2 linked regions of the Macaca fascicularis genome follow. The protein of the gene in region 2 interacts with the protein of the main gene of each other region in a pairwise test. Links are inferred from orthologs where the notes say so. Each region holds a gene or a part of one and is shown on either strand. Other genes may lie near its edges.

Region 1 (4,338 bases), on a different chromosome or scaffold from region 2:
CCACAAAGCACTGCTTATTCACTGTCTCCAGTGAGGACAGGCTAGGTCCACACTAGTCGTGTAATTTTCCATAGGCCTGTGTGCCCTTATCCAAAAATAAGACTCTGGGCTTAGATATTTTAAGTTCCTCTGTTGCCCCTTTTTCAGTGTGAGAATTGTGTTTGCTGTGGAATACATCCAGGGATGTCTTCCTTTAAATAAGTTCACAGTTTTAAATGGCCACCCCCTGACTCACTAATGCCTTACACAAAGCAAGATGCAAGTGCACCACATGCTTTTAGGATATTTTTATATGTTAAAAAAATGTATATTGGCCGGGCGCAGTGGCTCACGTCTGTAATCCCAGCACTTTGGGAGGCCGAGGCAGGCGGATCACAAGGTCAAGAGATCGAGACCATCCTGGCCAACATGGTGAAACCTCGTCTCTAAATTAGCTGGGCAACGTAGAGCGCGCCTGTAGTCCCAGCTACTTGGGAGGCTGAGGCAGGAGAATCGTTTGAACCCGGGAAGCGGAGGTTGCAGTGAGCTGAGATAGCGCCGCGCCACTGCACTCCAGCCTGGCAACAGAGCGAGACTCCGTCTAAAAAAATACATATATTGCATATATGTGTCTATTTTGCACACCATATAATTGTCACGACATCTTTATTGCTAGTTAGTAGGTTCCTTGACTGGGGTCATGTCATCTGTGCCTGACACAGGAGGTAATGTTTATTCAGAAATGAAGATCGCGGCTGGGCGCGGTGGCTCACGCCTGTAATACCAGCACTTTGGGAGGCCGAAGAGGGCGGATCGCTTGAGACTAGCAAGGTGAGACCCCATCTCTACTAAAAACACAAAAATCAGCGGGTGTGGTGACACACGCCTGTAGTCCCAGCTACTAGGAGGCTAAGATGGGAGGATAGCTTGAGACCACCAGGCAGAGGTTGCAGTGAGCCGAGATCGCGCCACTGCATTCCAGTCTGGGTGACAGATGCCTCGTCTCAAAAACCACAAAAAAGAACATAGGAGAAGAGGCATTGATGAGGAAAACTCAGCAAAGACAGCAAATATCAATTTGTTAAGCTATTTGCAAAGGTTTTCTCTTTCCTGTATTAATCTTTTCCCTCTCCCCACTTTTGGCCCGAGGATCTGAATCGTTCGGTCAGGCAGAAATCAGACCGCGTCCATACCCAGCCTCCTTCGAGGCCTAGCTGTAAAAACCGCTGAGCAAAGGGAATCCAGAATCAGCCCTCAAGCAACTCAAGACAAGTTAGCAATTTCCGCCGGTATGCCGTGAACACCGGCGACCACTGGCGTTTCCTCTGAGTCCTCGGAACTCCGGAAACTCTGGGAGCTTTCAGCCCGCCCATCAGGGGAAAGCGGCCCGGGGCCGGCGCCAGGTGGAGCCCATCCCCCTGCGTCTGGCGGGCCGCAGTACCGCCAGGGGCCTGCGGGAGGCGCACGCGGCGCGGCCTGAGGGGAGGGGGAGAGCGGGCGGAGGCGGTGCGCTCGGCGCTTCCTGTTCCGGCGCCAGGAGGAGCCGCGCGCTGCTGGTGCTGTTGCCGCCGCTGCTTTCCCTGCCGTCAGTCAGGCTGCGCCCGCTTCTTCAGGGCCCAGTCCCTCGGACCCATCGCCGCTTCTAGACCCTACTGCGGTCTCGGATATTGCCGGGTGAGGCTGCTTCGGTACTAGTGGGAGTCGTGAAGGGGAATCGGGGGGCTGGGGTTGCGGAGCCCGCGGGCGCGGCCAAGCGGGAAGCGGGCGCGGTAACTGAGGTGCATCGAGTCACGTCCAGTGCTCGGGCCGTGGTCGCCTGCCTGGGACCGGGGCTAAGCGTTTCTCTCGGTCGCCTTCCTCCACGCTGCGGGCTGCCTGGGGATCGCCCCCCAGGGAGAAGGTGTAGGAGGCCGCTGACGTCGCGCCCGACGGGTTTCTGGGCGCCTGACGTCAGGCCTGGCTGCGGGGCGGGGCGGGCGCGGGCCGGCCCCTCCCCCACCCTTTCCCGGCGGGCGCGACCCGCTCGGAGGCCGGTTCGCTCCGGTTGATCCCGGACTCCCTTTGTTCGTGCGTCCCTAAAAGGCTGCCGGCCTCGCGCCTTTTGGCCCCGATTTCCCCTCTACCCCCACCCCATTGCACCCATTCATTAATTTCTAATAAAAAGGGAAAAGCCTGAAAAGATTATTACAGGAATCTCGGGCGCTTGTTAATCCGCAGTGTGACAACGCTCTGGTTATGACTCACTAGAGGAATTGCCCACGGATACGTTAGATGAATACCCAGGGCAAACCACGAGAAGGGCAGAATTTAGGGATCTCCTTTTTAGGACTGAAGAGCGCATACCTACGATAGCTTATATATAGGGGGACCGTTTTCCTCTTTACCTTGAAAAGCAAGAGTACAGCTTTTAATAGGTAAAGATTGCAGTGTTAAAGCATGAAGCCGGACTCGCTCGACCGAAAAATTTTTTTTTAGTTTTACTGCTAGAGAAATACACACCTGGGGGTTGTAAAGGTCTGTTTTGAAAAGGAACCCTCATTACAGGCAAAGGTAGCCTTCAGAAACATTTTGTAAGTTCTTTGTTCACTGGTGTTCTTTGAGGGAAGAATAGAAATTTTTCATGCTGGCATCTCTGAGCCCACAATGCAAAGCGAGTTTGCTTCAGAAACTTGGAGTGAATTGCAAATATTGGAATGTTCTTTTCCTCTCTCCAGGAGGAATGGGTAATATCCATCCCCAGTCTCTTAGCTGAAACTTTTGAAGCTAGTGTGTTTTGAATTCAAAAATACTTGGATTTTATCTTCATCTTTTTAGAAAGACGACATGTTAGACGAGAGATAACACCCCCAGCAGAATGGGGCACCGCATCATCCAACATTAATATTTGCAGCAATAGATGTGAGCATTCATTCTAAGTGGGGGCGAATAGAAACTATAAATAGCTTCAGGTCACATTTTGCCACCATGTAAGATTTGTGCCAAACTTGGGAAAGTTTATTTTTTCGGAAGTCTCTGGATTGAGAAGGGCAGATAAAGATTTATGGACCTAAAAGTAGGCATCGTAAAAGCTAATATTTGTTGAGGTTTTGCTATATTCCAGGCAGTGACTAAGAGATTTGTTTATTATATAAGTCTTAGAGCAAATCTATGATGTGCATACGATTCTGATCTCCCTTTGCCTCGAGTTTGGAGAATTGGACTTGTCAACTCTGGCCAGTCCAACCAGTGAAGAGCTGCAGTTGTAGCTGGATGGTCATACTTTAGCGTTTACTCTTTTACCTATAAGCTAGATGTCCACATACAAGGGAAAGAGAATTTGGTACCTGTTTTCCACCCAAGCACTATTTTAGGCACTTGATTGGACAGAGTCCAATTTAGTTCATCGCAGCATTACTGGTCTGGTTGTTTTTTGTTTTTTGTTTTTAACTGCGTGCTTTTTACAAACAGTATGGCCTGTTCTTTATAGTTCAGGTTCATTCAGATGAGCCGACTCTTACTGAAATAATTCAAACCCTCGTCTAAGGTCTCTCTGCTAAGACTTTCCCCTTCCCTTGCTATATTCTAACCCATCTGAACTGCTTATACCTCCTCACAGATTCTCCCAATTTTTACACCAACTGCTCTTCTTTCCCTAGGACCCATGTCACCGCCCTCTACTCCCAGCTCTTTCTTTATGGTCCTTATGGACTGCAAAAGACAGCACATCTCAGGAATCTCCATGTAATACTAAAATTTCTCTAAAGCCCAACACATTGTTTGGCACATATGTTCCAATAAATATATAACTAAATGCCAAGAAATATTGCAGGTTGCATATCCCTTATCCCAAATGCTTGGAACCAGAAGTGTTTCAGATTTTGGATTTTTTTTTTTATATTACACCAGTTGAGCATCCGAAATCCAGAATGCTCTAATGAGCATTTTCTTTGAGCGGCATGTTGGCACTCAAAAAGTTTCAGATTTTTGAGCATTTCAAAACCCCCGTTTTTGAGTTGCCCAAATGTAAAAAATGGAACATAATCAGATAAATGAGCCAATGCTGAAAACTAGCATGTATTCTAATTTATAACTTTTTATTTTTGGAGACAGTCACTCACTGCAAGTTCCGCCTCCTGGGTTCAAGCGATTCTCCTGCCTCAGCCTACCGAAGTAGCTGGGATTACAGGTGTCTGCCACCGTGCCCAGCTAATTTTTTGTATTTTTGGTTGAGATGGGGTTTCACCATGTTGGCAAGGCTGGTCTTGAACTCCTGATCTCACGTGATCCACCCCCCTGGGCCTCCCAAAGTGCCGGGATTACAGGCTTGAGACACTGTGCCCAGCCATTAATTTATATTTTCAGTATGATACATATCATCCC
Region 2 (3,644 bases):
ATGGGTCCCCCAGGACCTCCTGGGCCTCCTGGACCTACAACAAGAAATAGCAGATCATTTCTCTGTAGCACCAGATTTGCTATGGGAAATAAAAATCACTAAGTAAACCCACAGATATCACTGTTGTCATTTCCCCATCACCCGTCCCATATGTTTCCGAGTGGCTCAGGCATCAGCCCCTTCCCTGTGATGAGCGTGTTCCACGTGCTCTACAGGAAACAGAGCTCCAATTCTTTTTTTTTTTTTTTTTTTTAGACAGAGTCTGGCTCTGTCACCCAGGCTGGAGTACAGTGGCACGATCTCAGCTCACTGCAAGCTCCGTCTCCCAGGTTCACGCTGTTCTCCTGCCTCAGCCTCCCGAGTAGCTGGGACTACAGGTGTCCGCCATCACGCCCGGCTAATTTTTCTATTTTTAATAGAGATGGGATTTCACTGTGTCAGCCAGGATGGTCTCGATCTCCTGACCTTGTGATCCGCCTCCCAAAGTGCTGGGATTACAGGCATGAGCCACTGTGCCCGGCCTTTTTTTTTTGAGATGGAGTCTTGCTCTGTTGCCTGGGCTGGAATGCAGTGAAACAAGATCTTGGCTCACTGCAACCTCCACCTCCCAGATTCAAGCAATTCTCCTGCCTCAGTCTCCCAAGTAGCTGGGATTACAGGCATGCACCAACATGCCTGGCTAATTTTTGTATTTTTAGTAGAGTTTCACCATGTTGGCCAGGCTGGTGTCAAACTCCTGACCTCAGGCAATCCGCCCGCCTCGGCCTCCCAAAGCGGTGGAATTACAGGCATGAGCCACCACACGCGGCCAAACTCCCACAATATATAAGGAGCAGGCAAATCTATACAGACACAACCAAAGCCTAATAAATGGCAGTCTGGAGGTGAGAGGCAGTGTGGCTTCCAGCCTCCCGTGTTCTTCTCCTCTTCCTTTTACACCCACAAACGTTCAAAGTATTGACTCTACACACAATTTTGTATTTCTTCACTCTAGTAATCAAGTTTCTCAAGGGTAGGGAGTATATTGAAAACCTTTTAATGCAACATAGGAGATCAAAGAAAGTACCTCCGCGGAGTGGTGGTGGCATCCCTCTGCCCTCACGGGGTGGCATACCCCCCCTCATACTGTTCATTGGAGGCTTCTTCCGAGCAAGAGAGACTTTAAGTTTGCTCCCTTGAAAATCTTTCCCTGGAATAAGACAACAGAACATCAATTACTCCCCTATATTCCCTGTTCACCAACTAAACGACATCATCAAATGACCACTCCCAGATGCATTAGGTCTGCCCCTCCTGTAATCTTCTCTAAGATCTTTACTGACAAGGCCAGAAAAAGGCTTTTTTGAGATGGGGGTCTCACTCTGTTGCCTAGGCTGGAGTGCAGTGGCAAGGCTCACTGCAGCTTCAATCTCACAGGCTCAAGCAATCCTCCAAAGTAGCTAGGACTACAGGCACGCATCACCATGCCTGGCTAATTTTACAAAATGTTTTGTAGAGGCAGTCTCTTGCTAGGTTGCCCAGGCTGGTCATGAACTCCTTGGTTCAAGCAATCCTCCTGCCTTGGCCTCCTAAAGTGGTAGGATTATAGGCAAGAGCCATCGTGCCTGGCCAGAAAAAGGCCATACACTTAAATATACTTAAAAACCTCTCTGCAGCCTGGCCAACATGGCGAAACTCCATCTCTACTAAAAAATACAAAAGTTAGCTGGGCAGGGTGACATGCACCTGTAGAGTCCAGCAGCTACTCAAGTGGCTGACACACAAGATTCACCTGAACCTGGGAGGCGGAGGTTGCAGTAAGCTGAGACTGCTTGTGCCACTGCACTTCAGCCCGGGTGACAAAGTGAACTGGCTCAAAAAATCAAAAACACAAGCAAAAAAATACTGTCTACCAGAAGGAGGAAAATAAGCTGGTGGGAAGCTGACTGTATGGCGAAGAAAAGAGAACCAGGACTTGTTATTTGACGCTTTCTTTGAGACAGAGTCTCGCTGTTGTCCAGGCTGGAGTGCAGTGGTGCAATCTCAGTTCACTGCAGCTTCAAACTCCCCGGGCTCAAGTGATCCTCCCACCTCAGCCTCCTGAGTAGCTGGGACTATAGGTATAGGAGTGCGCTACAACACCTGGCTAATTTTTGTTTTTTTTTTTTTTTTTTTTTTTGAGACGGAGTCTCGCTGTGTCTCCCAGGCTGGAGTGCAGTGGCGTGATCTCGGCTCACTGCAAGCTCTGCCTCCCGGGTTCACGCCATTCTCCCGCCTCAGCCTCCCAAGTAGCTGAGACTACAGGCACCCGCCACCACGCCCGGCTAGGTTTTTTTTTTTGTATTTTTAGTAGAGACGGGGTTTCACCATGTTAGCCAGGATAGTCTCGATCTCCTGACCTCGTGATCCACCCGCCTCGGCCTCCCAAAGTGCTGGGATTACAGGCTTGAGCCACCGCGCCTGGCCTAATTTTTGTATTTTTTGTAGAGACAGGGTTGTGCCATGTTCCCCAGGCTGGTCTCAAGCCCCTGGATTCAAGCGATGCACCTACATTGGCCTCCCAAAGTGCTGGGATTACAGGTGTGAGCCACTGGACCTGGCCAAGTCGTTCAATGCTTTCAAGTTGGTTTTGTCTGAAGTGAAATCCCAGCATTAATGTCAAGGCCTTATTTAAATATATATATTTATCTATATGCAAATGTACACTGGCTAAGATGTTCTTTTGAAGGGTTTTCTGTACCTTCTGATAATCTGCGCTTAGAGAAGTGTTTGCCACTTTTAAACAAGGTTGATTTGTAATACTAAAGCCTGAAAATAAAGGGATCTCCAAATCCAGGGTCAATGGCTGGGTCCTAATACTACTGAAGGGAGATCAGCAATCTACTTCCCCCAGAAAGGGATGGAAGGTCTTCTTGCTCCCGTGGTTCACAAGTTCCTCCCTCCTGCCATACTCTATAGCCAGGGAGATTAAGAATGCCAGTGAGTACATCTTACCGTCAAACCATTCCACGGCAGCCTTGGCCGTAGGTGGGTCTTCATAGGACACTGTGGCATCGCCTTTGGGCTTTCCTGTTTCCTTGTCCAGGTAGATGTGGATCATGGGTTGCCCAGTTCTCTTGTTCATCTAGACATAGAACACCATAGTTAGGCATGACTAGAATATACTAATTTGGGAGAAAAAAGTTCGGCAAAATCCAGGAAGAGTACCAATTTTTCACATGTAGTAGTCATTAAATGTCACTGTTTCTCCGCTTTAAGTTTTTCAGAATTTTAAGTTATTTTCTCTTCTATCCCTGCTTTATCATAAAAACCAAAGTAGACCCAAAGTTACAAAGTGTGGAAGTGAACAGGATAGGCCCCACTCCTTCCTTAGCCATCTTCTGATGCTGGTTCGCCTGCCCTGGCATTTTCTTTTTTCTTTTTTGAGACGGAGTCTCACTCTGTCGCCCGGGCTGGAGTGCAGTGGCACAATCTCAGCTCACTGCAAGCTCCACCTCCCGGGTTTACGCCATTCTCCTGCCTCAGCCTCCTGTGTAGCTGGGACTACAGGCGCCCGCCACCTCGCCCGGCTAGTTTTTTGTATTTTTTAGTGGAGATGGGGTTTCACCGTGTTACCCAGGATGGTCTTGATCTCCTGACCTCGTGATCCGCCTGCCTCGGCCTCC

Evidence for each region. The genes of interacting proteins can lie anywhere in the genome.
Region 1: the proteins of EWSR1 (region 2) and MAPK1IP1L interact in binary tests that used the Homo sapiens proteins (3 or more experiments, as listed by UniProt). The link is inferred for Macaca fascicularis from reciprocal best matches to the Homo sapiens genes EWSR1 and MAPK1IP1L.

What each region holds. Positions count from the first base shown.
Region 1 is NC_088381.1:122,906,648-122,910,985, forward strand, and holds the start of MAPK1IP1L (MAPK-interacting and spindle-stabilizing protein-like), read left to right. Parts: upstream 1-1,496; 5' UTR 1,497-1,653; intron 1,654-4,338.
Region 2 is NC_088384.1:22,374,142-22,377,785, forward strand, and holds part of EWSR1 (RNA-binding protein EWS), read right to left. Parts: intron 3,104-3,644; coding exon 2,974-3,103; intron 1,190-2,973; coding exon 1,067-1,189; intron 35-1,066; coding exon 1-34. UniProt on the Homo sapiens protein: Binds to ssRNA containing the consensus sequence 5'-AGGUAA-3'. Might normally function as a transcriptional repressor. EWS-fusion-proteins (EFPS) may play a role in the tumorigenic process.